Linked DNA regions of Diceros bicornis minor. The protein of the gene in region 1 binds, or shares a complex with, the protein of each later gene. Links are inferred from orthologs where the notes say so. Each region holds a gene or a part of one and is shown in the gene's direction. Other genes may lie near its edges. The genes, in order: GDF5, TWSG1 and HJV.

What was found.
Region 2: the proteins of GDF5 (region 1) and TWSG1 are in contact, whole or in part, in a crystal structure (PDB 8BWL), measured with the Homo sapiens proteins. The link is inferred for Diceros bicornis minor from reciprocal best matches to the Homo sapiens genes GDF5 and TWSG1. Residues at the interface, in NP_000548.2 of Homo sapiens: Glu434, Phe435, Pro436, Ser439, His440, Glu442, Asn445, Val448, Ile449, Leu452, Ser455; in NP_065699.1 of Homo sapiens: Cys26, Lys28, Cys31, Ala32, Ser33, Val35, Ser36, Leu39, Ile40, Cys44, Gln45, Cys46, Arg47, Cys73, Val74.
Region 3: the proteins of GDF5 (region 1) and HJV are in contact, whole or in part, in a crystal structure (PDB 6Z3L), measured with the Homo sapiens proteins. The link is inferred for Diceros bicornis minor from reciprocal best matches to the Homo sapiens genes GDF5 and HJV. Residues at the interface, in NP_000548.2 of Homo sapiens: Met412, Trp414, Trp417, Phe478, Asp480, Ser481, Lys488, Tyr490, Met493; in NP_001366281.1 of Homo sapiens: Arg95, Arg98, Gly99, Leu101, His104, Ser105, His108.

What each region holds. Positions count from the first base shown.
Region 1 is NC_080758.1:24,266,882-24,274,829, forward strand, and holds the start of GDF5 (growth/differentiation factor 5), read left to right. Parts: upstream 1-4,909; coding exon 4,910-5,534; intron 5,535-7,938; coding exon 7,939-7,948. UniProt on the Homo sapiens protein: Growth factor involved in bone and cartilage formation. During cartilage development regulates differentiation of chondrogenic tissue through two pathways.
Region 2 is NC_080755.1:7,358,945-7,366,741, forward strand, and holds the start of TWSG1 (twisted gastrulation protein homolog 1), read left to right. Parts: upstream 1-4,776; 5' UTR 4,777-4,938; intron 4,939-6,775; 5' UTR 6,776-6,809; coding exon 6,810-6,932; intron 6,933-7,797. UniProt on the Homo sapiens protein: May be involved in dorsoventral axis formation. Seems to antagonize BMP signaling by forming ternary complexes with CHRD and BMPs, thereby preventing BMPs from binding to their receptors.
Region 3 is NC_080743.1:53,509,227-53,516,408, reverse strand, and holds HJV (hemojuvelin), read left to right. Parts: upstream 1-4,427; 5' UTR 4,428-4,445; coding exon 4,446-4,542; intron 4,543-4,935; coding exon 4,936-5,504; intron 5,505-6,006; coding exon 6,007-6,630; downstream 6,631-7,182. UniProt on the Homo sapiens protein: Acts as a bone morphogenetic protein (BMP) coreceptor. Through enhancement of BMP signaling regulates hepcidin (HAMP) expression and regulates iron homeostasis.

The sequences.
Region 1 (7,948 bases):
ATTTTCTCATTTGTGAAACACGGACAATATTAACAACAGAATCTTTTTTTTTTTTTTAAACTATAATTTATGGAGCACCTACTATATGCTGGTCACTGAAAGAAAGGTACTTTATATACATAAATACATTTAGTTCTGATAACCAGTCTGTGAAGCTGATATTTTTATCCTCATTTTACGGGTAAAGAAACAGGGTTCAGAGAAGTGATATTTTTTAAATGTAAATAACAGCTAACATTTATGTAGTGCTTACTATGCATGAGACACTGTTCTAAGAACTTTACTCACTATTTAACTAATAACAACTCTATGAGGTAGGTATATTATTATTATTTTCGTTTTATACATGAGGAAACTGAGGCACAGAGATTAAATAATTAGCCTGAGATTACACAGCTGATGAATCAGGGAGCCAGGATTCGAAGGCAGGTAGCCCAGCTCTTAATCATTAAGTTACAAATCAGACAACTCTCCTGCTTCAAACCCTCCATTGGGTTTCCCACTGCCCTAAAAATAAAATCCAACATCCTCTCTCTGGCTTGCAAGGCCATACTCCATGTGGTCCTGGCATGATCTGACCTCATCTCCTTTCACTCTTCCACTTACTCGCTCTGCCTCAGCTGCACCAACTTCTCATGGCTCCCCAGATGTGCCAAGCACATTCCTGTCTCAGGAGCTTTGCATTTGCTGTTTCCTCCACCTGAAATGATCATCCTCCAGACCTTTGTATGGTTCCTTCCCTCACTACATCTGGCTCTCTGCTCAAACGTCACCTCGTTAAAGAGACATTCCTATCTAAAATAGACATCCCTTTGACCCTGCTTAATTTTTCTTCACAGCACTTAGAATTCTCTGAAATTATGCATTTGTTTGCTTGTTTGTCTGTCTCTTCCACTGGAATGTGAGCACAGACTTGGTGCTCTTGTCCACTGCTAGATATCCAGTGCTCAGGCCCAAGACCTACCACATGTCAGGCACCCAATATATAGTTGCTGGATAATTAAGTACATAAATGAAGGAATACCCAAGGTCACCCAACTGGTTAGTGACAGAGCCAGGATGAACCAAGTTGTCTGATCCTGGAGCCTCTGCTGTGAGCCACTGTGCTGTGCTGGACTGACTCCGAGAGATCTCGGGAGGTTCAGATAGCATAACAGTTCTGAAACCACTTTGAAAATTGCTAAGTCCTTGAAAAAAAGCAAAGGATTATTATTATTATTCAGTTCACTGTTTGCTTATCTATGAGATGGAGATAATACTACTCTGGCCTGCCGACTTGATGAGGACATTTTGTGGCGTGCCAATGAGATAATTGACGGGGAAACATGTATAAGAGTTAGAGGGTCTACATGGTAGAAGGGACTGTAAAGATTATTCCCACGCCAGTGGCTTCCCAAGGCTCCCATCTTCCACCTCAAGTTTGACATTAATATTGCTGACAGGAGAGGAGGAGGTAGGGGGACATGTGGGACCGAGGGACTCTGCATCCCAGTAATTAAACATGTTGGGACTGAAGTGCTGCCAGCGGCAGCATCTGGTTGCAATTACCAGAGGGGACCGAAGTGATTAGTCACCTTTATAGTGAGAGCCAGGCTGGTCCCCTGGGCTCCTCCCTGGAGAGGGCCTTCTAAGCAAGCTCAGAATCCCCTTTCCCTGCTCCCACCCCATCTCTGGAGCTCCCTGGTCCTCAAACAATAGCCCCTGCTCTGAGACTGACTCCTCCATGTCCCCAGGTCCCAGCCCATTGGATGAGACCTTGACTGAAAGCCAAGAATACTGTAATTGCCCCCACCACCCTTTCACTTCTTGTGTTTCTAGAAGCCAGGTTAGGATTCTTTTGTATAAATATGTCAAAGTAGGAATCAGGCTTAAAAAGTAATTTAACCTTTCTGAACTTTGATCTCTTCATCTGTAAAACGGGGGTACTAAGAGTACCTTCATCATAGGATTGTTGTGGAGATAAATATGATAAAAATGCCATGGGATACAAAGACCAGAGTCTAGTTTACTAGAGTAAGTGCTCGATAAAGTGTAGCAATTATTATCTTCCAGGTGCTAGGCTAATCACTTTTTATGATTCATTTCATTGACTCCCCATAAAAACCCTGTGAGGTGGGTACTGTCATGATACGTGTTCAGAGTTTCAAAGAGGTTTAGAGGTTTCCAAAGATCACATAATGCACTAAACCATATAGCAGAACCAGGATTCAAAACCAGCTCTGTCTCCAGAGTCCTGGCTCTTGATCAACCATGTGTAGGGGCATCTTGGTTGTTTGATTCATTCATCCCTTCATTTATTCACTCACTCAAGCTTACAAAGTGCCTAATAAGTGGCAAGATGGAATCCCCTGCCTTTAAGGAGCTCAGGGCCCAGCGGGGAAGGCATGATATGTCCACAAGTAACTACGCTTTTGAGTAGAAAATGATGGCTTTTGTATATAAGGGCCAGTTAGAGATTCATTCATCCATACAGCACATACTGAGAATCTGCTATGTGCTGGGCCCTGTGCCCAACACTGGGAATAATTGAAAGATAAATATGGTACAGTCTAGTCATAATCTAATGGTGGAAACAGACATGTAAATAAATTATTACAGTTATAAGGAATTAAGTTATAGTTTTTAAAAATATGAAAAAAGTACACAGAGTGGAAGAAATGAACAGTGCTCGAGATGGGGCAGAAGCAGAACTGAATAATCTTTGAGCTGCCAAAGTGGAAAGGGGTACAGAAAATGATGGCAATTCAGGAGTGTGTATTTTCTGGTGGATGAGAGGAAGCTTCATGGAGGAGAGGGCGCATGTGTTGGCACTTTTCAATGGGTACGTTTTAGAGAGAGGGAGGGTTGGGACAGAGATCCTGGAGACCTGGAAGCCAGGCATAAGGGAATTATAGATGGACAGGCAGGGAGGAGGACTGAGACAGTGAGGCAGCGGGGATGGAGAGGAGGGAGGAATGCCAGAAAAGACTGTTAAAGTGGGACAGGTCAAAAGGAAAGCCAAGTGTTGTGAATCTGGGCAACTGGAGGGATAGCAATGAATTCAGCTCTTCCTTAAAGCTCCCCACAAAAGTGCCTGGTGGTGCATTGGTCCTTCGAGATGGGAGGTGGAGCTCTACTGAGTTTTCTGACCTAGGAGCCCTAGATGAAGCTTGAAATGGACAAATTATGCTGTTGTGCTCTGAAGATCAGTGAGGATATGGGAGCATCACCACGAAAAGGCTAGTCAGGCACCTGGACACCCCAGCTGTGAGTTTCATCTTCTTTGATTCATCAAACACTTACTAAGCTCCTACTCTGTGCCAGTTTATGCTGGGAAACCTATCTGGTGAGTACACCTGATCTAGAGTCCACCAGGTTTAGAGTACAAACAGATCTCTATTAGGTAGGCTCAAAGAATCTCAGCTTAAGAAGGAAGCCCACCTGACTACTGCTTCTACTGTGGCTGTACTTCTTACAGTGTGACAAGTGTTGTAATAAAATGTACAAGAAGGAGTAATTGGCTCTGTCTGGGGATCAGGGAAGGCTTCCAGAAGGAGGTGAATTTCAGCTTAAGCTCTCAGGATGAGGAGGACTTCTGCAGTTGTGGGAGTAAAAGGAGGGTATTGCAGGTGAAGGAAATACCTTTCTCCCAGGAGTCCAGCTGGAATTCAGACTTCTTCCAGAGCTACCAGAAAAGCATCAGGTGGGAAATCATTTTTCCAGTTTCCTGCAGGGGCCGCTGCTGCCCCAAGCTGGGGCTGCCACCTCTGGACTCAGCCAGTGATTTCCAACAAAACTCTGAGTCTGTCTTTGCTGGGGTGGTGGTGAGGTAGACCCTGGACCTGCCTCCATTCAAGGAGCGGGCTCAGGGGTGGCAGTGCCCCCCGGAAGCCTGAAGAAATGATCTGAGCTCAGTCATGGCATCGGGAGGAGGAGGGTAGTGGGTACCGATATTCTTCTGTCTCTGGGTCACCGTAAGTTTATTAAAATAAAAGAAACTGTGGGTAAATGCTGCCATCTGTGCTGCCCACCCCCACCAACAACAAATCAGGCCCCAGACTAGATGCAGGGGTTGAAACTACTTTAAAAACACCCCAAGGACTTAACTGAAAACTCACACTCCCCATGCTTCGGGGGCTTAAGATCCTTGAGCTCATTCCTCAGCATCTCTCCTCAGGAAGGTGGGGTGGGCTGTCCTGTGAGGTGGAGGTGAAGACCCCTGAGTCGGCTCCACAGACTGAGAGGCCCCCTAAGCTCGGAGTCCCGCTGTGGGGCTCTGTGCCAAGAGCCCCCATGAGCCACGGCCTGGAAAGGGCAGCAGTGATTTTTTTCACATAAATATATCGCACTTAAATGAGTTTAGACAGCATGACATCAGAGAGTAATTAAATTGGTTTGGGTTGGAATTCCGTTTTCAATTCCTGAGTTCAGGTTTGTAAAAGATTTTTCTGAGCACCTGCAGGCGTGTGTGTGTGTATGTGTGTGTGTGTGTGTGTAAGTATTTTCACTGGAAAGGATTCAAAACTTAAAAAAAAAAAAAAAAAACTGGAGCACACAGGCAGCATTACGCCATTCTTCCTTCTTGGAAAAATCCCTCAGCCTTATACAAGCCTCCTTCAAGCCCTCAGTCAGTTGTGCAGGAGAAAGGGGGCGGTCGGCTTTCTCCTTTCAAGAACGAGTTATTTTCAGCTGCTGACTGGAGACGGTGCACGTCTGGATACGAGAGCATTTCCACTATGGGACTGGATACAAACACACGCCCGGCAGACTTAAAGAGTCTCAGACTGAGGAGAAAGCCTTTCCTTCTGCTGCTACTGCTGCTGCTGCTGCTTTTGAGGGTCCACTCCTTTCATGGTTTTTCCTGCCAAACCAGAGGCACCTTCGCTGCTGCCGCCGTTCTCTTTGGTGTCATTCAGCGGCTGGCCAGAGGATGAGACTCCCCAAACTCCTCATTTTCTTGCTTTGGCACCTGGCTTGGCTGGACCTGGAATTCATCTGCACTGTGTGGGGTGCCCCTGACTTGGGCCAGAGACCCCAGGGGGCCAGGCCAGGATTGGCCAAAGCAGAAGCCAAGGAGAGGCCCCCTCTCGCCCGGAACATCTTCAGGCCAGGGGGTCACAGCTATGGTGGAGGGGCCACTAGTGCCAGGGCAAAGGGGGGCACCGGGCAGACAGGAGGCTTGACACAGCCCAAGAAGGATGAACCCAAAAAGCTGCCCTCCAGATTGGGTGGCTCTGAACCCAAGCCAGGACACCTTCCCCAGACAAGGCAGGCTGCAACGCGGACTGTGACCCCAAAAGGACAGCTTCCCGGGGGTAAGGCACCCCCAAAGGCAGGATCTGTCCCCAGCCCCTTCCTGCTGAAGAAGGCCAGAGAGCCTGGGCCCCTGCGAGAGCCCAAGGAGCCGTTCCGCCCGCCCCCCATCACGCCCCATGAGTACATGCTCTCGCTGTACAGGACGCTGTCCGATGCTGACAGAAAGGGAGGCAACAGCAGCGTGAAGTTGGAGGCTGGCCTGGCCAACACCATCACCAGCTTTATTGACAAAGGGCAAGGTGAGGGGGCGGGGTGGCAGGGGCACGGCTCAGAGGGAGGGGCATCTGCATGCATGGAGGGGCCTTTCAGAGCCCTGACACTGCACTGGTGGGAGATGTGCGTGCATCTGGCCTGGGGTGGTATCTGGGACGTATTTCATACATACCAGGTCCCAGGCTGCTGGCATGTTAGAGCTGGAGGGCACCTGGGAATCACCAAGTCCAATTCCTGCAAGTTGCAGAGGGGCTAACTGAAGCCTGGAGAGGAGACAAGACCAGCCAGTTGGTGGCAGAGCTGGGGACCAGACTCTAAGACTCTTGACTACCAGGCCATGTTCTGTTCCTATGTGAGTTGGCCAAACTTTCCAGGCTCCAGGGGTTTGTAGTTTTTCTCAGATGGCAGAGAGAGAAATGAATCTCTAGATACCCATGGTTCTGCAACTTTCTTTCAGGCTAGGGGGCAGAGGAGGCAGGATAGTTGAAGACAGTAAACAAGGCATCTTGGAGTCATGGAACGACATTTAGACACAGGGAGTAGGGGAGCAGACTTAGGATCTAACTCACAATGTGACCTTGGGAAAGTCTCTTCCCCCTTTGGGGGTCTCAGTTTTCTCATCTGTACAACTATATGGGGGTTAGACTGGGAGATTTCTGAGAGCCTATCAAATATGGAACCTTTATGTCCTGTCCTAAACACATATCATTTTTATCATTAACCCAGGAGAATATCTGCTCCCCTCACTTCTCCCTCTGTCCACCTAGCATTACTGTCTTGCCTTTTTCTCTCCACTTGCTGTGTGATCTTAGCAAGTCCCTTCCCCTCTCCTGGCCTCAGTTTCTCCATAGATGTGAAGAGGGAGGTGGATCACTGATTGCTAGGGTTGCTTGCAGCGTGTATGCTCTGGTTCTCAGAGTCTTAGGGCTTTAGCTGGCAGGGTGGGGGAAGGGTCAGAGAGTGGGAGAGGCTCCTCATTAGAGCTGGCCTGTGGGGGATGACAGAGGGCGGGGGAGGCACAGAGGCAGCAGGTCTGGCTGAGGTGGGGGAGGTGGCCTGGCTGCCTGCCCAGCTAGGGAACGCTGTGACCCCTTGGGGGCTCATAAAATAAGTCCCTGTGCCCCCCCAGCACTAAGGGAGCCTGCAGAGGGGGAGACAGAGGGGGAGTTGGGGAGTTTAAAGGCCTAATTAGTCACTTTCTAGAGCAATATATGAATGCTTCCCAATGGCAAATTGGTATTTAGCAAGGAGGGCATGCTGATTCGGAGATACTACTGAGCTTCTTGTACGCACAAACAGCCATACATACATGCTGAATTACATACACACGTGCACACACACACACACACCTTCTTGTATATACATAGATTCTTCTTACATATATACACACGTATACATGTACATCCTTCAAATATTCACACAAGACCAATCATACATGCACGTAACATGTCACTCAAAAAGTATGTATTACATTTCATACTCACATATAAGCCCAATAATACACACATGCACACAGACTGTCACTCACACACACACACTCACATACCCAGCAGGGTAAGACACATGCACAACAAAATCATTAGACTGGGAAGCCAGGGAAATTGGATTATAGAGCAGCTTTGTCATTAACTTGCTGTGTGACCTTAGGAAAGTCAAGCCTCCTCTCTGTGCCTCATCTGTAAAACGAGAATACTAAGATCTTCTATAAGGTATCGTGGAAGCAGCTCAGGATTGGGTATAAAAAGCTCTAGGCTAGGGGCTGGCCCTGTGGCATAGTGGTTAAGTCCAGTGTGCTCCACTTCAGTGGCCTGGGGTTCGCAGGTTTGGATCCTGGGCGTGGACCTATACTACTCGTCAAGCCATGCTGTGGCTGCGACACACACACAAAAAAAGGAGGAAGATTGGCATAGATGTTAGCTCAGGGCCAATCTTCCTCGGCAAAAAAAAGCTCTAGGCTGGAGTTCCAACTCTGCTTTATCCTAGCTGAGTGACTTTGAGCAAGTCACCTGACTTCGCTGAGCCTCAGGTTCCTCCTCTGGAAAAACAGGAGTAATTAGAATACCTACCCCACCTATCTCACCAATGAGATATCATGTTAGACAACAGATGGGAGAGGGACAGGTAGCAGGCAGTTCTAAGGCTAATGGGTCTCTGATAGGAGCATCACTGACACAAACACCTAGAATCACTCAAATCACCCACAGCCACATTTACAGATAAACAACCTTACTTGGTCGGCTGTGTAGGAAGCTCACTTGTTTTGAAAAAGGCTCGCTCTCAGTGGTTTGGGTCTTGGCATCTGTCAGAGTGGGGAAGAGGTTAGAGAAAGCTCTCTTGAAGGAGAGAGAGCTATGGCCCTCCCCTGAGGCCTCGAGATGACTGGCCCTCTTGGTGAAGTTGCAGGGAATGACTTCTGGGTGTTCTCTCTAGATGACCGAGG
Region 2 (7,797 bases), on another chromosome or scaffold:
GTCAGTGCAAATAAATGATTTAGGAGCCCAGAGGCTGTCAGGGACTTTAGCTGAGGAAGTTGTTCATTTAATCAATTCATTCAGTTAGCACTGACTGAGCACTTACCATGTGCCACTGTGTTGAGTCACGGAAGACGATATTTTATATTTGCATAGGGTGATATGTGAACAGAGTTTAAAGAGTGGCAGGATTTATGTAGCCAGAAAAAATGTAAGAATCCTGTCCCAAGCAAAAAGAAGAATGTGCAGAAATACAAGACTGGAAAAGTATGATGTGTGAAAATAGACCAGCTTGCCTTATGGAGAGGATTTGTATAACATCAAAAATATCTACACATTCTGGAATGAAAAGATGTTCTAGATATGTTAAGTGGGAAAAAGCAAGTTGCAGTGAAGTACTCTTAACATAATTTCAGTTTTTTTGCAAATACATCTTAATATACGTGACTCAAAAAAGATGGAAGAAATATACACGAAACTAAGGACAATCTCTAGAGGCTAAAATGGCAAGGGGCTCTCATTATGAAGTTTCATAATTTTCAAATTTTCCCCAGCCAAGTATGTATTACTTCTGTAATCAGAAGGGGGAAAAAAGGCTAAAATGAAAATAAATTAATAAATTAATACATATTTTAAATAAATAAGGAGTTTGGACCTAATTTGGTAGGCAACAGTGAGCCATGTGGAAACATTGGATTTTGGGAAGCCTTAGATGCATTTGAGAACATTCTCAAATGTAAATATCTCAATAGCCCTTGATAGCCCTTTGCAAGTATGTTTGCTGAAATAGCGTTTTCTCCAGCAGGTGGGTCTGCATGCTCCCGACTGGTAAGCTGGGCCTCCTACAGCCCCTAGACCCTGAGCCTGGGAAGAGCCTGCTTGAGTGTCACTTTTGCCTGGTGGATTAACAACCTGGTCATTGCAGAGGAAATTACAAGGGATTTATTTATTTATTTATTTATTTATTTATTAATTAGTGAGGAAGATTAGCCCTGAGCTAACATCCGATGCCAATCCTCCTCTTTTTGCTGAGGAAGACTGGCCCTGGGCTCACATCCATGCCCATCTTCCTCTACTTTATATGGGACGCCGCCACAGCACGGCTTGACAAGCGGTGCGTCTCTGCATGCCCAGGATCTGAACCTGTGAACCCCAGGCTGTCTAAGCAGAGTGTGCACACTTAACTGCTATGCCACCGGGCCAGCCCCTACCAGGGACTTTAGAGTTCGACATACAACAAAACAAAACAAAAATATCCTCAAGATTTTCTACATTTCTTTTTGTTTGAAACAGGAAGAGTGGAGAGGCCTTTGGAAGAAATTCATTTTCTTTTCCCATTCTTTTGATAGCTTTGCAGTAATTCCCATAACAAAGCAGGGAGGGAAGAGGGAAGGGGGAGAGAGGGAAGGAGTAAAGGAAGTTTATCCTGAAACAGGCTTTCCAACCCCAGTAGATCTTCCCTTCCACGGGAGCAGGATGAGAGGCTGAAAAACTGTGGCTCACTTTAGTTCAAATCTATAAAATCAAATCACCTAATTCAGCTGAGTCACCCAAGTAGAAAGAGATAAGAACGGAAAAAGGGACTTTGCAGATGTGACTAAACAAAGGACCTTGAGATGGGAAGTTATCCTGGAATATCTGGGTGGGCGCAATGTAACCATAACAGTTCTTATAAGAGGGAGGCAGGAGGGTCAGAGAAGAAGATGTGATTATGGTGGCAGAGTTGAGAGACAGACAGAGAGAGAGAGAAAATGAGGTGGCGGGGGATATTGATTTGAAGATGCTACACTGCTGACCTTGAAGATGGAGGAATTGGCCACAAGACAAGGAATGTAGACGGCTTCTAGAAGCTACAAAGGCAAGACAACGGACTCTCCCCTAGAGCCTCCAGAAGAAACACAGCTCTTCCCATACCATGATTTTAGGACTTTCGACCTTCAGAACTGTAAGATAATAAATTTGTGTTGTGTTATGACAGTAAATTTGTAATAATTTGTTACAGCAGCAATAGGGAACTAATACACCCCTTTCTGTGGTTAACTGAGAGTCTCAACCACTGACACATCTGGTTGAAGGTTAGGTGACATTTGACCTTTTCATTGAACCCTACTAAGAGGCTTTATTCCATTGATCATAAAGGCTTCTGGTAAGATAAAATAGCCACTACAGTGACCCCTGCAGCTCTCAGATTCCCAAACTGCCAACCACAGATCCAGAACCACTTGATACCCACCTGGGGGCTCAAGTACCATTTGATCTTCTAAGGAATATCAAAGAGGATCTTTAATTTAAATTAAAAATAACTGTATTTTTTTCTTATTACCAAAGTAATATAAACAAAGACATCGGAAAATGCAGATGTGCAAAAAGAAAAAACATCGTCAACAACAACAATCACTGATAACCTCACCAAAAGATAACCACTTCTAACACCGTGGTTCTCTTTCCAGGCCTTTTAAAGTAATTTCATACACAATTTGTAATATTAATAATTCTAAAAATATAGACACTACTTTAAAATGTTAATATATCATGAATATATTTCCATGTCAACAATATTCAATAACACTAGTTCTCAAAGTATGATCTGGGGACCCTGGGGGTGCCAAGACCTTTTCAGGGGGTTTATGAGCTCAAAACTATTTTTATTTTAATTCCAAGACATTATTTGCCTTTTTCATTCTCCTCTCATTAGTATAGAGTAGTTTCGTAGAGGCTACATAGGACATGCTATTGCAACAGTGCCCGCTGCCTGAGGCACATAGAAGCCAATACTATGGCATCAGGTTTTGAGAAAAGAAAAGGCTTTATTGCGAGGTTGACTGGCAAGGAGACAGGAGGCAAGGTTCTCAAACCTGTCTCTCCAATCCAAGGTTTGGGGCAAAATTTAAGAAGTTAGGGGCTACTCAGCTACAGCTGGGCCCATGTAGGCTGATTGGCTAGTCTCAAATCTGGCCATATACGGTAATCAAGCTACTTGGGCTGCCAGAAGCCAGATTTTCCTTATTGAAGGAAGATTCTTGGTTCCACGGTCATCTTGAGGATATGGGTGCCTGCCTGGCACATGCACAGTGCCATCTCTGTTATTGAGCAAAGTTTGACTCAAATGATCTGTTTTAAGGAAGCATAACTAGCTTAAGCTGGCCAGTGTTTTATGTGCTGTTTCAACAGTTTGAATGCAGAAGCAGATGTGAAAATCCAGCTGCCTTCTATTAAGTTTGACATTAAAGAGAATAGCACAATGTAAAACAATGCCACTCTTGTCACTAATTTTATTTGGAAAAATATGTATTTTTCATAAAATGTTATTCATATTCCCATATAATAGAGTCTATTATTTTTAAATGAAATAATGAGCAAATATTTCTTAAACTTCTCAGTTTTAATTTTAAAAGTTTTGATAGATGTAGCATACATAAACAAAACCGCTTTGGAGCCCTCAATAATTTTCAAGAGTTTTGGTCCTGAGAGCAAAAAGTTTGAGAATCGCTGAACTACAACGTTATTTTTTAATAGCTGATTTAGTCCATTGCGCTGGAATATCATCATTCATTTAACCAGTAAGTAATGCCAGAATAAGATCCTTAAAATTAAATTTGTGTAGACTCAATTATTTCTTTAGGATAATTTTCAGGGATGATTTTAAAAATGTATACTTATTTGCTTATTGTACAAAAATGGACAACTGTCAATAATGCAATCCACCTCCTGAGCCAATCAACTCTTTGCATTCTTTCCGTTTTCTTCTAATCAGCAAAGGGGAATGTAAAACACTTAAGACTTCTACTAGCTTAAGCTTTAGCACTGAGTCACATTTCCAAGGTGAAAGTACCTTGTGGGTCATCTAGCCTAACGGGCTCCAACTTAATCACTCTGGAATCCTTTTAAAAAGCAATTCCCAGGGTTGTGGGAAAGAACTGAGTGCAGTTCTCAATCGCCTTTACGTGCTAAGGGTTGGTGGAAGGAACTCATTTTTCTAAAATACAGGCTGAAATGAGTGCTGGTGTCATACATACTTGGGTAGCCCTCTCCTGTGAGGCTGTGGGGGGGCAGCCATTTGTCTAGCTGTCCCTGCTTTCCACAGGGCAGTGAGCTCCTCCTGGCCAGCACCCCGGGGCCTCCTCCCCTCTGTTTCCAGCGCTTAGCGCCATGCCGGCACTCGGTAAGGGCCCAGCAAATCGTAGTGAACTGCTCAACGAAGTTCTGAAGGCTCTACCCTTGGAGATGCCTATTCCGTAAGTCTGAGGACCCAGAAACGTACGTCTGACGTCGTCACAAGGATTCAAGCGCCCGCTCTACTGGGTACGGCCTAGGCTACTCAAGCACTGGGTGCCTCGGTCTTGCATCCTCATAACCGGGCAGACAACAGCTCTCTCACAGGGTCGCTGCGAGGATGCAGTGAGCTCACACACGTCGCGCTCTCAGCTCCGTGACTAGGACGTGATAAGCCTTGAAGCATTGGTAGCTGTTGCAGAGGAGCCCCAGACACCGGGCCTCACCGGAGGGTCGGCCGAGCCGGAGAAGGCTGACAAAAGAGCCGGAGACGCGGGCGGGGCACAGGGCCGAAGAGCAGCGCGCGTGGGCGCCGCCGTGGGTGTGTCTCGGGCCGGGGGTGTGGCCGCCGGCGGGCGTGACCAGAGGGCGGGGCCAGGGCCGGCGGGCGGCGTGCGCTGACGGGGGCGCCGGGAGTGAGAGACGCCTCCTGGCGGGCGCTGGCGGCGGCGGGACCCGCGCGCGGGCGGAGGGAAAGGGGGGAGCGGGGAGCGGGCGGAGGCAGCGCGCCGCCTGCCCCTCGAAGGTGCCGGAGGCTCGCGGGCACTGCGCGCTGGGGCGGCGCGGAGGCGCGGGGCGCGGCGGCCTCCTTCGCACAGCCCCGCGGCGCGCCCCGGGCTCGGCCGACCCGCCGGGAACCAGGGCCAGGCGGCCTCGCGGCGCACGGTGAGCGGGAGTGGGCGGGGCGGCACTGTGGCCGGGAGACGCCGGGCCGCGCTCGGGCCTCGGGAGGCCGGAGCCGCGGAGGGCTTCGCGAGGCCCGGGCCCCGCCCACGCGGCGGCCGAGGTCCGGCAGCGGTCGCAGGCGGGTGCTGGGCGCGAGCGGCGGGCGGGGCCCGAGCCCGCCGCCCCCCGCCGCCCCCACCGCAGCGCCCGTGCCCCTCCCGGGCTCGGCCCGCCGTCGTCGCCTCTGCGTCCTCGCTGGGCGCGGGGCTCGGTCCAGCGGCACAAAGGCTGCTGTCAGTGCCAGCTGCCGTAGGGGCCGCTCGCAGGGCGCCGGAGCCTGCGCTCCCAAGACGCTGCCACGATGCGGAACACGGTTCTGACGCCGTGCTGTTTCTGACTCCTTAGGAACAAGCCAGAAGCCCTTTAAAGCATTCTCTTAGCTGCTTTGTACATGCCCTTATTTACTTGAATACTTTTTCTAGTAAGATTTTGGGAGTAGGGTGATTTGTCACACACTTCAGAAGACAGCCTTAAGAGATGAAAAAAAAATCCCATTTTTAGTGTTTGTAGGATGAAACTAGTTGTGGAAAAAATCAGTTTTCAAATGCCTTCTTTTGCCTCGACAAGTATGTACTGGTGGCTCCAGAAATCATCCGACTTGTGTGTGTCGTTACATAATTTAAAAGTTGGGGGTACTAACGGTCTCTAGGGAATACTTTGTGGGCCTGAGTAGCAATCGCCAGGGCTTTATTCAGTCAGACCGGGCACAGAGCCCTGTATTCTTTTCACCTTCTTACTGCTTTTGCTTTATTGTACTTCGTAATACTTAGAATAGTAGTTTACAGTAATCATAAAGGCCCCATAAACCCGCCTTTTATGTCTCTTACATCAGTAGTTATTTACTTTAATTGATTATATTTTGGGAGTATGTTTTAACCCCAAGAAGTTTTATCTTCTCTTTTTTGAAAGTTTAATAACCATGTTGGTTGTTTAACCACTGTCAGAATTTGTGCTGGTCTTTCTTTCCTTTTTCTTTTTGAACTGTAATATCTTCATAACTTGGAAGAATCTATGATGCCAATAGAATCAAAAGAATATCTTCACATTTTAATAGATTATCCAGAGTTCTTAATGCAATTAATAATTTATTATCCCCTTTGTTATTTGCTAAATTATTTCAGGGAACGGCTGTTGACTCCTTTCTTTGAGCAGCCTCATTTGGGCTAATATATATTAGGAGACAAAATGAAATAGTCATAAATAATCAATAGAATAATTTGCATTTTAAAAATTTGTTTTAATTCTAAGAATTAAAATGTTGTTAAATGTTTTAAAATTATAATACAGTATTAATAGTTTTTATGGGCTAAAGGTTGAATAATGGGCCTAAAACTAAAGGTGAATAGTAGCAGTGCAGTATTGAAACTAGTTATTTGCCTGGTAAACTCTCAGGTTACTGATAGTTTAGAGATGTATAGATAGACAGATGTGTGTGTATGTATGTAAATCTGTTTATGTATCTGTAGAGAGAGAGAGAGAGACATATATATTCACTTTACCTTTACAGTCACCATTTCTGGGTGGTCTGAGGAATTTCAGTATTCTAGATCTTTGAAGATGGCTAACGAGACATTACGATATAAAATTGTCGGTTTTTTTTTTTTTTTTTGAGTTTTGAGTAATCTTTCCTTGAAAATGGTCTTTAAATGATCACTTAAAAGTCTTCTAACGCAAACGATGAGTCTTGGTTTATTTGTTTTTCATTTTTGTATTTGCTTTTACCCTATCACTTGCCTTTGAATTAAAGTTTTGTTGTTTTTTCTTTTTGTTTGTTTAGCTTCCTGGGAGTTACTGATTATCTTTGAAGAAACATGAAGTCACACTCTGTTGTTATGCTTACTCTAACCATCCTGGTCTTCCTGACATGGGTCCCTGTGTCACTGAGTTGTAATAAAGCACTCTGTGCTAGCGATGTGAGCAAATGCCTCATTCAGGTAGGACCAAGAGTACTTTTTATTAATATTAAAATATATTGTGGAGCAGACATAGAGCACATATATACAGTATATATGTATATAAAGTATATATATATAATTTAGTGTAAGGCCTGAGTATTAGATCAGGGCCTGAGGTACTGAACCGTCACACACTGGTTTGTATTTTTGCCCACATAGTTCTCTTGCGTACAAGCAAGGTCAGAGTCAAGAAGTTCAGTACTGAGAATAATATCCTGCTTTGTAAACATGCCAGTACAAGGTGATGAACACTCTATTCAGATGAATTAAAGGGTTCCCTTGTATAATTTAGTTTACATAGCAAAGGGGCTCACTTACTGTGTTTAGGAAAAAATTTAGCTGGTCAAGTAATGGACAAATGTTACCCTAAGTATAATGTGTTAGTTGTCTATTCCGTGTAATAAGTTACCCCCAAACATAGCAACTTAGTGCAATAAACATTATTTCATGCAGTCTCTGAGGGTTGGGAATCTGGGAGTAGTTTATCTGGGTGGTTCTGGCTCAAGGTCTCTCAAGGTTGCAGGTAAGTTGTTGGCTGGGATTGGAGAATCTGCTTCCAAGGTACTTGACAGTGATCGCTCTTTCAGTCATCGAGGCAAGCCTAGTGATGTAGCTACCACTCTTACTTTTTTTTTGTGGAGAAAAGTGAGGTTAAGTAATTTGGCGAGGTTCATATAGCTAGTAAGTGATTGTGGAACATGGTATGTGTTTGACTCCAAAGCCTCTGGCCTTTCCACTAAACATACTGGTTATTACGCTCGATAAAGTTGTGTTAATTAGCAGTAAACTTGATGTCCTGTATAGCTGTTCTCTCTTTTCCCAACATATTAGACCATCAGCAGTC
Region 3 (7,182 bases), on another chromosome or scaffold:
TCCAGTTTCAACAATTATCAATTCATGTTTCAATCATGTTTTATCATTACTCCCACTCACTTCTCCCCCATCTTGGACTATTTGAAAGCAAATCCTACGTATGCTTTTTTTTTTTTTTTTTTTTTTGCTGAGGAAGATTCACCCTGAGCTAACATCTGTGCCAATCTTCCTCTCTTTTGCATGTAGGTCGCTGCTACAGCATGGCTGCCGCCCAGTGGTATAAGTCTGCGCCTTGGAACCGAACCTGGGCTGCTGAAGCGGAGCACACGGAACTTAATCACTAGGCCATGGGGCCAGCCCCCTATCCTATCTTTTTATCTGCAGATATTTCAAGATGTAGCTCTAAAAGATAAGCACTTGTTTTTTAAAAAGTACAATTTATGGGGTGTTAGCTCAGGGCCAACCTTGTTGCCAATCTTCCTCACAAAAAAAAAAAGTACCATTTATGACACCAACAACTTTAACAATAATTCCTTATAAATCACCAAGTATTCAGTGAGTGTTCATCAGCATTCAAATTTCCCTAATTGTCTCATAATTTTTTTTTCTTGATTTAGGATCCAATAAAGTCCATACTCTACAACTGTTTGATGTCTCTCAAGTCTCTTTTAGTTTATAGGTTCCCTCTCCATCTTTTTTTTCCAGTTTATTTGTTGAAGAACCCAGGGCATTTGTCCTGTAGCATATTCCCACACTCTGGATTTGCATCTCTGAGGTATCACTTGATGTCTCCTGTGTTTCCTCCAAATTAGTAGTTAGCTCTAGTCTAGAGGTTGATCAGATTCAGAATGCAAGGCTACTTCGTAGGTGGAATTGTGTACTCTACTTATGATCAGAAGAACATAATGTTTGTATCTCCTTTTGTAATGGATAACAGTCGCTGTTGATCATTGCCCAGATACCTTAATTCATTAGGAGTTATGAAATGTTGATATTCTAATTATGCCATTCTTTCTTCATTCATTTGCTGGAAAACTTCTACAAAGAGAAATTTTCCTCTTGTCTTGAATTACCACAGGAAAAACAGGATAAATGCCCGATTCCTTCCAATTACTAGCAATCTTCAAAATAATGAGTTGATCCTCTAGCATTCTCCAACAATGACCAACGAGTTTGTATTTTTAAGCATCAATGTGAACACATAGATTTGAATATATTTGATATGTTTAAATCCATCGCAGAGAGTATCCATTTTCACACTCAAATTGTCCCATCTTTGGCCAGTGGGAACTATTCTAGTTGCTTCTGAGTCCTTTTGGTACACTCCTAATAGCCTTTGAAAGCTTCCTTGCTTATCTTGGACAATTTCTGCCCCACACCTGAAATTTCTCCAAGGAATTCCTTTTAGTGGGAAACGGCATTTAGATAGCTCAATTTGGACACTAGGGGTGTTCATTGCTACTGAGTTATCATTTCTAGGCCTTTTCAGGATAAAGATAGAAAATGTTTTAGGATAAAATACACCATGAGCTCACAGTTATACTTCCAATTTAAATCCAGAATTATACAGTTTTTAGTTAACTTCTTCCATCACAAATCTGTATCTCTTTATTCTACACCAAAAATCCTGGTTCACAAAGACACTAACATTATTATTCATTTGTTTTATCCCACAATACACTCACAATAGTTTCAGAATAACAATACCAACACAACCACCAACAACATGACTACTTTAAAATATTTTTACACTTCTTTTTGTCCTTAGAGTATATCCCACTTGGGATGCCATAGTCAAATTATTGTGCTTTAAAGTCACTTGAAGTTTGGTTGGGGGCATTTTACATTTTTGTAATAAAAGCCCTTGTGATATGGCCTCATGTGGTAGAGAAAAAAACTAAATTTGTCAAATACATATGTATAATAACGAGAAGAGTACTGTGTGGGCCTCTAGATTTTGCATTAAATGTAGAGCCAATTAATGCAGATGCCTTACTGACACTATTTGGAATCAGCCCTTGTGTTAATTTCACTTGGCAAGTACTAAGAGATGATCCCAGATGCTTATGGCTGCAAAAATATGACATAGCTAAATTCCTTGGTTGCAACATCTTAAAAGGTCACAAGATTATGTTACTCCACAAAATTACCTTTCTGAGTCTCTTTTTCTCTCAGTTTGTCTCTCCAAGTCCCGCTCCCCTGTAGATTAGTAATCATCAAAACATTCTATCTCTACTCTTTCTTCACTTCTTCGCCTTTGCTAGCCTCCTCTCCCAGCAACTTAGGAGCTTTTTATTTTTTTGTTTATTGGTGAGAGGGAGGGAAGGGGAATTGCTGTATAAACTAAGGGAATGAAAATGGAGGAGGTAGGGTGATAGACAGCTGCAAGGATCTGACCTGGTAGACTGAAACAAACCCTCATCCTAAACAACTCAGAGCTCAGATTTCTTCTCTGGACAGCTGGCTTTTTTAGTCCTCCTGAAATACTCTGCAAAAATAGGGGAGGGGCTGTGAACCACCTCTGCTATGGATCTTACTTAAAGTCAGCTACCTCCTAGATACGTTCTATAGAAACTAAATGCGATATTCAATATAGCAGGGATGAGGGTGAACGAAAAGTATACAATTGGCCACTCTAATTTTTAAAGGCCAGGAGCTCATTATTGACAATGCTGGAGGGCTGCCTGGAGTAGGCAGTGACTAGAGTCATATAAGCTGGAACTGGGTATTTGACCTGCCTGTAATATTTGTCTCCCCTCCCCGACTTGGTACCCTATACGCCATATTCTTTCTAATCCTCCTACCCTCCCCACTCCCCCAAGTCCCATACCCTACCCCCACCAACACTCCTGGAATTTTGGACTTAGCTATTTTTAAAACAGTCAACTCAGTAGCCACCTCCCTCCCCCGCTCAGCTGTCCAGTACTCCGGCCAGCCATATACTCCTCCTTCCCCCACACCAAACCTTCTCTGGCTCCCTGACCTCAGTGAGATTGCAGCCAGTCTGAGGACCTGTGGGAGACATGGAGAAAGAGACGGGGCATCCCCTGGCTGGAGCTGACCGACAGAGTAGGCAGTCATGGCTGGAGAATTGGATATCAGAGTAATGTTTGACCTCTGGAAACAGTAAGTGAAAATGAAATTGCAATTCCTTTAATAAGCTTTAGGATTGAAGTTAGACTTTCCTAAAACTACGACACCTATGTGGATGTCTCTGGTCCAAAAGCTAGGATTTCTTCCATACTAAGGTGTCCCAATTTCCATTTCTCCTTCTGTCTTATTTCTTTCTGGCCTCTGGCCTCTGGCCATTTGAAGTTTAATCCTCAGTCTCTTTTTAGGCAGTCTTAGCTCTCTCCTTACCTTGTTACCTCAAGACTTCTGATGAAGTCTCCTTCTTTAGGAGGAGATTCCCACATCCCCCATTCTGTGGTTTTCTCACCAAGACCAAATTTAACCTCAGATGATTAGTCACTGATACCCTTCTACCCTGCCCCTGCTTAGCAGTGGCCTTCACAATGGACTTCCAAGAGTGGGGGCTACTCCTTGTTGTAAATGATTTCTCCTCACAACTCTAGTCCCACCATCCTATTTTCCCTCCTGCATGACTCTTCCCCCAATCATATCCTTACCCCAAGAGTGGGGAATTCGGCAGGAGGAGGTTAGTGCCTCCCCAAGCCCTGTCCTCATAAAAAGATTGAGAACTTCTGAATTTGCAAAGGGAAGATTAATGAAAAGAGTGGTTCTTCAATCAGGTTTGGAAAAATTCAAGAACTGTTGACTCAGAACAAACAAATGTTGATTTGCATGCTTGGTTTGCATCCCATTATTCCATGAGAGAGAAGGATTATAATTGCAGCTCTCTAGAGTAGATGAAAGAAATCCGTTTCCTTTTCATTTGAATACTGATGTTCTAGAGAGGGGATGGGTATTCCAGTCTTACTCCTTGCTGAAAATTCTGACACAAAGGAGGAAAAGAAATTAATGACCCCTAGAGGGTGTCCCCTCCTGATGGGGAGGGACAAATAAGAGGTATGTTTCTGAAGTATTTTCAGATCCTAACTCTATTGGGGAGCCCACTGGGATGACTGGGATCTGATCTATCCCCATGATTCCTCCTTTTTTGACATTTCCGCTATTTGGTAGTTCAGGATGGGGCAATACAGTGGACTCTGCTCCCTGAGTCCACTCAACCTTCCTTCCACCCCCACCTAGGGGTATTGCATAAGGGACCTGAAAGTGGCCACAAGAGCAGGGCACAGAGGCTTAACAGCCACACTTACAGTTTCGGGAGCCCTTTTCTCCCCAAACTCCAGTCTGCTCATTCTTTACTTGATCTCCCCAGATTCTCTTTACATCATCCTGAACAATCTTCAACTCTTCTCTCTCCCCATGCCCAGCCAAATTTCTTTTTTCAGTCCCTTACAGGACGTCCGGTCAAAATTCACTAGGTAGGAGGGTCATCAGCTGGAAAGAACTGGAGCCTGGGGGGACCTGGCTGGATAGGTATGGGGGATCCAGGCCAGTCCCCTAGTCCCCGGTCCACCCATGGCAGTCCCCCAACTCTAAGCACTCTCACTCTCCTGCTGCTCCTCTGTGGACATGGTAAGGAAGGGCTAGGGAAGGGTTTGGGGAATCTAGAGGGTAGGCTGCTATGTAGGGGTGGGCATGTGTAAGCATGTGTGAGTGAGAAGAGATGGGTGCTGAGGAGTCCTTGTCATTCATCCCACTCTCAAATGGGTATATTTTGTTTCTCATTCATCTTGGGGAAGGGTTCTGGGAAAGCCTTTGATCGACAGGGAGAAAAGATCTAGCAGTCTTACATATTTTTAGCAAGACAGAGTGACGACAGGACTAGGGACCTGGGGGCTGGGGACTGGGGAAGGCCTTCAGCTGGGTTTTAGGAACGCCTGGAATCCCCTGCTGAGATTGGGAGAGCATACTCCGATAGAGCCCGGATCTGGGGACCATCTCACAATCCTCTCCTTTCCATCTCAGCTCATTCTCAATGCAAGATCCTCCGCTGCAATGCTGAGTACGTGTCGTCCACCCTGAGCCTTAGAGGTGGGGGTTCACCAGGAGCGCTTCGAGGAGGAGGAGGAGGCCGGGGTGGAGGGGTGGGCTCCATCGGCCTCTGTCGAGCCCTCCGTTCCTACGCCCTCTGCACTCGGCGCACAGCCCGCACCTGCCGCGGGGACCTCGCCTTCCATTCGGCTGTGCACGGCATCGAAGACTTGATGATCCAGCACAACTGCTCCCGCCAAGGCCCCACTGCCCCGCCCCCGCCCCGGGGCCCAGCCCTTCCAGGCGAAGGCCCCATCCGCTCCTCTGGCCCCCCAGCCCCGGACCCCTGTGACTATGAAGGCCGGTTTTCCCGGCTGCACGGTCGTCCCCCGGGCTTCTTGCATTGTGCCTCCTTCGGGGACCCCCACGTCCGCAGCTTCCACCACCATTTTCACACGTGCCGTGTCCAAGGAGCTTGGCCCCTGCTGGATAATGACTTCCTTTTTGTCCAGGCCACCAGCTCCCCTGTGGCATCGGGGGCCAACGCCACCACCACCCGGAAGGTCAGGGACTCAACGGCTCCTCCAGACCCTCTCATGGTCACCCCACCGTACCACTCCCATCCCACTCCCACTATTCCACAGCAATGCTCCCTATTCCCTTTCTTCCTCAACCACTCCCACATCTTGAATCACTCCCACCTGCCAGACAGTTGCTCCTGTAAATCACTTTTCCTTGGTGGGAATTTCACTCCAATGCAGAAAACATTGAAGAGAAGGTTGGGGAGAGGAGAGCTGAGGAGCCCTGGGTTGAGAAGTTAGAGAAGGGAAACTTTACTTCTCCTGTGGGAATTGCTGAGATTGAGACCAAAAAGGAAGGGAAGGGTTGACCAGGGATGAGGCAATATTGGAACATAAAGAGAAGAAGGGATCAAGCAGTGAGAGCCAGAACAAGCCTTGCATCTCTACTGGGATCATATCCCTGACTATGTATGAGGCCTAATTGGGGGAAGGGGGTAGGATGCACTGAGCCCAAAATGAACTGTTTTCCCTCTTGCCCTCACAGCTCACCATTATATTTAAGAACATGCAGGAATGCATTGATCAGAAGGTCTACCAGGCTGAGGTGGACAATCTTCCTGCAGCCTTTGAAGATGGTTCTATCAATGGAGGTGACCGACCTGGGGGCTCAAGTTTGTCCATTCGAACTGCTAACCTTGGGAGCCATGTGGAGATTCGAGCTGCCTATATTGGCACAACTATAATCATTCGGCAGACAGCTGGGCAACTCTCCTTCTCCATCAAGGTAGCAGAGGATGTAGCCAGGGCCTTCTCAGCTGAGCAGGACCTGCAGCTCTGTGTTGGGGGGTGCCCCCCAAGTCAACGACTCTCTCGCTCAGAGCGCAATCGTCGGGGAGCTATAACACTTGATACTGCCAGACAGCTGTGCAAGGAAGGGCTGCCAGTTGAAGACGCTTACTTCCATTCCTGTGTCTTTGATGTTTCAATCTCTGGTGACCCCAACTTTACTGTGGCAGCTCAGGCAGCTCTGGAGGATGCCAGAGCCTTCCTACCAGACTTAGAAAAGCTGCATCTCTTCCCCTCAGATACCGGAGTTCCTCTTTCCTCAGCAACCCCCCTAGCTCCACTCCTTTCTGGGCTCTTTGTTCTATGGCTTAGCATTCAATAGATAGGCCAGCAATCCCATGATTGGTTTAGAAATTATTTGGGGATAGAGATTGGTAGGGAAGAACATAAAGAATCACTGAAGGAAACTGGACTAGGAGACACATGAAACAATGACATTTACCCAGAGTCAGATAAGGCTGCAGTCCAGGTTTGAAATGATCACAGAATAAGGATTCGGGGCAAAGTTACTGCATTCCAGACCTCTGTGGGGGCTCTTCACCAATTTTTCCAGTCCTATTTATAGTAATTGAATTGTTCCAGTCCATCTACTCCTGAGATCACCCCTACAAGCTTAGAGGTTATAGGGGTCCTGATGATCAGTAGAACTTAAGGGTTGAGACTCCTAAGAGGGGAGAACTGAAAGAGGAAGACATGATCATTACCTATAAGAGACTCAAAATCTAATGATCTTTTCTCTTGGAAGATGGAAAGAGGAGGAAATGATTAGGGAAAAGAGTCTATTTGATGAACATATGTGGGCAGGATGTGTTCTGCTTTCTTGGTTCAGAAATGAAGTGGGGGTTGTCCGGATCTTAGGTGAATGGAATCTCTG